2 linked regions of the Danio rerio genome follow. The protein of the gene in region 1 binds, or shares a complex with, the protein of each later gene. Links are inferred from orthologs where the notes say so. Each region holds a gene or a part of one and is shown in the gene's direction. Other genes may lie near its edges.

Evidence for each region.
Region 2: the proteins of cftr (region 1) and gopc are in contact, whole or in part, in an NMR structure (PDB 2LOB), measured with the Homo sapiens proteins. The link is inferred for Danio rerio from reciprocal best matches to the Homo sapiens genes CFTR and GOPC. Residues at the interface, in NP_000483.3 of Homo sapiens: Val1475, Gln1476, Asp1477, Thr1478, Arg1479, Leu1480; in NP_065132.1 of Homo sapiens: Gly298, Leu299, Gly300, Ile301, Ser302, Ile303, Thr304, Gly305, Glu308, His309, Glu317, His319, Thr347, Lys348, His349, Lys350, Glu351, Val353, Leu356.

Annotation. Positions count from the first base shown.
Region 1 is NC_133193.1:22,079,368-22,083,203, forward strand, and holds part of cftr (cystic fibrosis transmembrane conductance regulator), read left to right. Parts: intron 1-45; coding exon 46-222; intron 223-1,124; coding exon 1,125-1,316; intron 1,317-3,836. UniProt on the Homo sapiens protein: Epithelial ion channel that plays an important role in the regulation of epithelial ion and water transport and fluid homeostasis. Mediates the transport of chloride ions across the cell membrane.
Region 2 is NC_133195.1:45,573,736-45,578,132, forward strand, and holds the end of gopc (Golgi-associated PDZ and coiled-coil motif-containing protein), read left to right. Parts: intron 1-243; coding exon 244-418; intron 419-3,112; coding exon 3,113-3,231; 3' UTR 3,232-3,849; downstream 3,850-4,397.

The DNA of each region.
Region 1 (3,836 bases):
GCGGTGCGGTGCGGTGTAAGGAGATGTGACGCTGTGTTTCTTTAGGGTCCCGGTGAACTTTTGGAAAGGATAAAACAGGAGAACAAAGCTAATGGGCATCACAATGGAGACGCAGGCCTCTTCTTCACTAACCTGTATGTGGCTCCTGTACTGAAGGACATCAGTCTGAAGCTGAAGAAAGGAGAGATGTTGGCTGTTACTGGTTCTATGGGATCTGGGAAAGTATGAGCGCTTATTTTCATTTTTTTAGGTGTTATCTATTGCAAATACCATGCATAGGTGCAAGTAGTATCAATGTAAATATATTATAATCATTTAAGATGTTATAGTGAGACTACAGATGTCCATTCACAGTTAATAATAATGTTTAATTTTTTTTAACTTTTAATTAAAATTATTGTCTATTTATTGTGTATTACACACTTTTTACACAATTGTATATACAATTTATGAGATAAATTAATTAAATTTTTCTATTAAAATTAAAAGCAAAATTCTTATCTATTTAAAAAATGTTCAGTTTTGTAAATAGTAAAATAAATATTTAAAGAAAGAGACTAAACATTTCTGACAAATAGCTCTCACCTACAAAATCATTTATTTAATAATTAGATTTGTGATTTATTTACATAATTAAGAAAATCTAAAGTGCGGCAAAATATGTAATGACAAAATGACACAACCCATCTCTGGGAAACATTCACACACACACACACTCATAAACTTCGGACAATTTAGCCTACCCAATTCACCTGTACCGTATGTATTTGGACTGTGGAGGAAACCGGAGGATTTTTGAATAATATTAATTAATTATTTTGCTTTTAAAAAGGTGTTTGTACTTTTTTAAAGAAAAGAGTATTGTATCCACAAAGCTCTAATAACAGCGATTCAATAATTTAAATTATACTAATATTTATTTTGAATATACATATTTGAGCAAAATTTAATTTTATTGAAATTGATAATATTAACATAATACCTTACAATTATTAGTTATCTGTTATTAGTTATTAATTATATAGTTTGTACTTAATTTTATTTTGCAATTTATTAATTTAAACATAACTTAATATGTAAGGGGAAGAGTTGTCATTGCTCAGACGTGCTGTCTATATTTATAGAGCTCATTGTTGATGACCATCCTCGGGGAGCTGGTTCCCTCCTCAGGGAAGATCCGACACAGCGGTCGAATCTCTTACTCCTCCCAAACAGCCTGGATCATGCCTGGAACCATCCGAGACAACATCCTCTTTGGCCTGACCTACGACGAGTATCGCTACAAGAGTGTGGTGAAAGCGTGCCAGCTTGAGGAGGTATTGACAAATTCATCTGTCCCTCATTTCCTGAGCATTACTCCCATCTCCAGTTCCTCTCCTCTCTGGACAATAGTGTTGTGAAATTACTGGAATTTCCAACTCGATTTATCTAACTCGATACTTTGTAAAATGATGTTTTGTGATATGATACTCTTAAAAATATTGAGACTCTGTGTCACTGTTGATATAGTCGAGTATTAACCACAAACTTAATTTATATACATTAAAAAAAAATTAAAGACAAGTCAACAGACAGTAATAAATAAATAAAACAAATTACAAACAATAACACAAATAAATACAACAGAACAAATATACAGATGAAATAAGAGCTTAACATTCTTCTGGTACATGTACTGTATAGGCCTATTGCTTTTGCCTTTCCTATTGTTGTTTCAGACATCATTATTTGTTTAAAAGGTACAAGGTACTTTATTTAAAAGTAAAAACTGTAAATTAGCCAAAGTAAGTCAAGAGGGCTAATTTTCATCTGTTACCCCTGCAAGATTTTAAAAAGCCAACAATAAATCAAAAACAGATTATTACACATACAACATCAGTAAAATTACATACAACAAAATATTAAAAATTGCTAACAATTTCATAAAATAACAAGAGAAAAGAATTACATTTTGTCAAGAATAAAAGTAAACTAAACTGAAACTAAACTAAACTGAAATTTAACTCTAAGCTGCTTTGACACAATCTACATTGTAAAAGCACTATATAAATAAACATGAACTGATTTAATTTCTTTAAGTGCAATAATAAAATCTCACATTTTGCTTTATTCACATCAGATACACGTAGTTTTGGTAACAATAAAGTTCACTCGCTATAAATAAGCCACAGCTATATCACCCTACAGCCCAAGACCGGTTACTCACTGAAGCTAAGCAGGGCTGAGCCTGGTCAGTACCTGGATGGGAGACCACTAGGGAACACTAAGTTCCTGTTGGAAGTGGTGTTAGTCAGGCCAGAAGGGGGCGCTCAACCTGTGGTCTGTGTGAGTCCTAATGCCCCAGTAAAAGTGAAGGGAACACTATACTGTCAGTGGGCGCCGTCTTTCGGATAAGACATTAAACCGAGGTCCTGACTCTCTGTGGTCATTAAAAATCCCATGGCACTTCTCGTGAAGGAGCAGGGGTGTAACCCCGGTGTCCTGACCAAAGTCCCTCTATCGGCCCTTACGATCATGGCCTCCCAATCATCCCCTTTCTACTGAATTGCCTCTATCACTGTCTTTCCACTCCATCAATAGCTGGTGGATGCTGCACACTGGTGGTGGTGTGGAAAAACCCCATCATGATTGTGAAGCGCTTTGGGTGTATGGCCATACACAATAAATGCGCTATATAAATACACATTACATTACATCACATATATTCTTTTCCCAGTTGAACAGCCACTTACTTTACTTTCATGAATTTCAGAAGAAGTTGATGAATGAACATGTTGTAAATCCAGCAGCTCTAATCTCTCCACTGATGTGCAAACTAACATGGCGGTGCCTATCACCCAACATAGATCAATTATTTTATTAAGCTGTTTAAACACCAAACTAAGTATTTTAACACGTATTTAAAAATTCTAATAGCAGATATTTTTAATATAATTAGGTTGTTTGTCAGTATTTTCAGAAAAGGGAAAATATTAACAATAAAAAGTTAGATATTGTGTTTTTTTTAAATTAAGGCGACATGGTGGCTCTGTGGTTAGCACTGTCGTCTTACAGCAAGAAGGTCACTGGTTCGAGTTCCAGCTGGACAAGTTGGCATTTATGTGTGGAGTTTGCATGTTCTCCCCGTGTTCAGGTTTCCTCCAGGTGCTCCGGTTTCCCTCACATTTCAAAGACATGCGCTAAAGGTGAATTGGATGAACTAGATTGGCCATAGTGTATGAGTGTGTGTAAATGAGAGTGTATGAGTATTTCCCAGTACTGGGTTGCGGCTGAAAGGGCATCCGCTGCATTAAACTTATGCTGGATAAGTTGGTTGTTCTTTCTAATGTGCCAACCCCTGATCAATAAGGGACAAAGCCATAGGAATTATTTTTAAAGTTATCTGACATAAAAAAAAGTCAGGAGTGCAACAGAGAACTCAATAGAGAAAAAAAGATGTTCAATCAGTTTTAAATATTAAGTTCTCCAGCATGTATTACGCTTCAATATTTAAACTAATAAAACCTGAAACATGCAAATGAGCTGCTGTAAACTCATAAAGGAACAGGGTGAAACTGTGACGGGACAGATTAGATGTGGTGTGTCGAAAACCACAACAAACTGCTTCAACTGGCTTGAATGAGAGAGATTGATATTTTTGATAATACTTGCTAGTTTAATTTCCTTTATTTTCTGACCTCACTCATCTCCTTTCTCAACCTGAAGCTCTTGCTGTCATGCTGTTTGGCTTTAGCTCTGCTTCTGTTTTTGTCCTTCTCTTTCTTTATCTTTCTTTCTCTCTGTCTGTACATGGAATGTTCACCTGGCAGTTGAACTGAGAGGCTTTGTTAGATGGA
Region 2 (4,397 bases), on another chromosome or scaffold:
TTTAATAAAGTCCACAACTCCCATGATTCCACACTCAAGTCACGCTTTCATCAAACTATCTCATCAAATCATCATAGAAAAAAGTGGATCAAATCAATCATTCGGTTAATTCCAAATTTAAGTCATATGATTACTGTGTGAACAACCAAAGGTTATATTTACCTGAAATAATAAAAAGAATTGATTTGCATACATACACTGACACTTCGAGAAACTAACGCAGTTGTGTTTTTCTCTCTTCAGAGGGGAGAAATTGAGTTTGAGGTGGTTTATGTGGCTCCAGAAGTGGACTCAGATGATGAGAATGTGGAGTATGAAGACGACAGCGGGCACCGCTACCGTCTGTACCTGGACGAGCTGGAAGAGGCATCAGCAGCCAATCACAACAATGGCACTGCTGACCCCGCCTCCCTACAAGGCAAGTACACTGAATTGAAGGGGTAGTTCGTCCAAAAAAATTACATTTATATCATCATTTACTCACCCTTGACATGTTTGTCTTTATTTTTTTTTTATGAACACAAAAGAAGATATTTTAAGATAAACATGTAACCATTGACCTCCATACTATTTGTATTTCCTACTATGGAAGTCACAGGTTTTTAGCTTTCTACAAAATATCTTCTTTTGTGTTCAACAGAATAAAGAAAAAGTGGTTTGGAACAACTTGAGGGAAAGTAAATAGTGAGTACAGAGTAAATCCACGCAAGCTGTTAACCACCAAAATGAACAGCTTAGTAAATAGCCCTTTTACCGTCAGTCTAAGAAATAGACATTTTTATTTTATTTGACCAATTTCTTTGCTTGAATTGCGTTCCTGACACCACACTGAACAACATTTGCTTTTCTTTTAGCTTATAGCTCAACCAATCAATGGCTTCCAAGAACACAGAGAATGGACTCGCATTCTTATGGAGAGTGGTCTTGTCAAGTTACCTCGGTCTAGCACAGGACGTATCCTCTGAGAAATGAGATGTTGCGTTCTTCCAGATGGTCACATGACCTTCACGAATTTTATCTAAATTATTTCACGAAAATTATTTAAACATTACAGCATTCTTTTTTTTTTAATATTTATTTTGCCTTTATTTGACAGGACAGTATGTTGACAGAAAGTGAAGTGAGAGAGAGAGAGAGAGAGAGATGGATGGATGGATGGATGGATGGATGGATGGATGGACAGACGGACGGATGGATAGATGGATAGATTAAAGCAGTTTGAAAAAGATAGATAGATAGATGAAAGCAGTTTGAATATAGATGGATGGATGAAAGACAGATTGGAAAGACTGATAGACAGACATATAGATATCTATCTATCCATCTATCTATCTATCTATCTATCTATCTATCTATCTATCTATATATATATATATATATATATATATATATATATATATATATATATATATATATTTTTATATATATATATATATATATATATATATATATATATATATATATATATATATATATATATATATATTTCGGGAAAGTTCCTCGAGCTGGAATTCAAACTCGGGACGCCCGGAGTGCTGCTGCTAGGGGTGTGAACCTACACTGGTCTCACGGTCCGGTTAAGATTATCATGCTACGGTGGCCGGGAAGTGTAAAACAACATTACAAATTGTAAAACACTTTTACAAAGCTCAAGACAAATTTACATTTTGAAAAACATTTTACCTATCATCAGACACAATTACATAGGAAAAACTATTTTACCAAGGACGAAATAAATTAACATTTTTTTAAAAAAAATGAACAAGACGAAAAAACACTTTTACAAGTCCCGAAACTAATTTACAATTACAGATTCCTTATGGAAAGGTAATGTACCACACACTGGAAGTGACACACATATAAATGTGTCTGATGATAGGTAAAAAAAATTTTAAAATGTAAATTTGTCTCGAGCTTTGTATAAGTGTTTCACACTTTGTAATGTAGTTTTGCACTTCCTGGCCACCGTATCATGCCATCGATTCAGTTCAATTCGATATCTTGGTGCATCATGGTTCATTGACGATGCTTTTAATACACAATTAGATTTTTTTTAACACAAATGAAACATATTTTAGTACGAATTTCAGCAAATAAACACCCTTAATGTGTTTGTCTTTATTAAGATTTTCATGTTAAAGTTTACTTTCACCATCTCATATAGGGAAGTTATGTCTCTGCACTATAATAATAAACAGATATGAAATGCTGTACTTCTTATCTCCTTTCAAGAGTTCACACTTAGTTGATGATTGTTTATAAAGCTTGTTTGACTTGCTGTCCCGGGAGAGAGCCCTGAGCTCATAAGATCCTCGAGTCCAGGGTTCACTCCTGTTTGCAAGGCGAGAGGTTAGTTTGAGCTCAGGTAGATCTCGAGAACTCTTCTGCTGTAGATGCTAATGAACAGATAGTGTTTGCTCTTAAGAGATAACTACTTACTAGCAGCATGTCTAAGGTGCTGATTTGGAGTAGTCAATTAACTTAAGTTGCATGTTTTTGGACTGTGGGAGGAAACCGGGCACCTTGGAGAAACCCACGTGAGCTCGGGGACAAGGTGTAAACTCGGCACAGAAACGTTAGCTGGCATGGTAAGGACTAGAACCAGTGACGTTCTTGCTGTGAGGCAACAGTGCTAACCACTGGGCCACCGTGTCTAGGAAAGGAGGAGGAGTAGGGGTGGAAGGGGGTTTCTTCAAAACAAAGATGGCTGTTATATGGAACTTAGAGTGATTATAGAGGCTTAGGAATCGTCTGATTGGTGAATCATAAATTGGATAATGCAGGACCAGCCGCATGCAATCATAAGCACATGATCCTCTCGAAATTAGTTTATAAATAAACTTCACTTATTCAGCCACAATGAGTTCTGAGACTTCTCGAGCGAGTTCTACGATCAAGTCTGCATCAATGGGTCCTTGATATCCAAAACACATCCGGGTTCTTTCACACATCCTCCGTTCTTAAGTTTTTTAGAACTGAACTATGTGGATTGATGATGACTTTATATGAGAACACAATGCATATTGAGAAACAGCCATGGTCTGTTAAAGTAATCATTTAAAAAAAATGTAAAACCTTACTGTCCGCTTTTTTTTTTTTTGTATCCTTCCAGCTGTAGGGAAGCACTTAGTGAACAACAGAACAGAGAACGGAGACGTGGGCTTGTCCAGCGAATGCCCTTCAGACGACAAAACCTCCAAAACAGCAGAGTCTGCAGAGAGCTCATCCTAGACACTGAAAAACCCCCAGAAGAAAACGGCAGACATCAGTAAGAGATGAAGACTGAACATGTATAATATGTAACATATAGGAGATTCTTGGTTTTATTGCATATGGAGAACAGTCTGCTTTTACGTCCACTGGAGATTGAGGAACCACTGAGAAACACTGAGAGAAGAGGACATGATGGCACTCGGTGGATTATTATTATTTTTTGCTAATATTTGTCATCATTTTGGGTTATATAAAGGGACACAAAATGACCATCTGCGTTGGAGAGCGAGTAAATCGAGTTTATGGTATAACAATGTTGGATCCTTCTGTGTATCTTCCATAGATGAGCTCAAACTTTCACACTGTACTGAAGTAGATGGATATAGAATCGAGTTACTGTTTGCTCAGAATGTGTGTGTGTGTGTGTGTGTGTGTGTGTGTGTGTGTGTTTGTGTGTGAACATATGTTTCTAACCTCTTGATCGTGAGTCGATCCTGCTTGTTTGTCTTCTGATCTAAAGCGAAGGCAAACAGGATGATTTTACTTCCTGTTTTGCACACCGGGTGGTCAGTAGGTGACGGGGACAGAAACGAGTGTGTTGTATTAAACGTGCACATCCACATGTGCTTTCATTGGCTTGCTTTCTTTATTCAACAACACACTTTCAGGTTCAATTTAGCTGATTGAGGACGAGTTTTAGGGTGGATCTCAATGAAGTGATGTCTTGGACGTATTTTAAACTGAAGAATGTTATTATATTTACTAAAAATAATTTATGTTATATATATATATATATATATATATATATATATATATATATATATATATATATATATATATATATATATATATATATATATATATATATATATATATATATATAAACCTCCAATTGTATGTGTTTTAGGTATTATTTATTCATTGCAGGAGTCTTGACATGACTAAATTGGTAACACTTGACAATAACAGTACATGAATAATGATGTATTAATATATAAACTAAACATTACTTCATTATTCATAATGCGTGTTAATCGTTGACTTACTTTAACTACAACATGAGTCACATGAGTTCATGTGTGAATAACCGCTACTGTAATTACTTGTTAATGCATGATTGTTTGTTAATTAATGTATTTTTACCACATTAGTTTATGCCTAATTTAACCATCATGAACTATGTC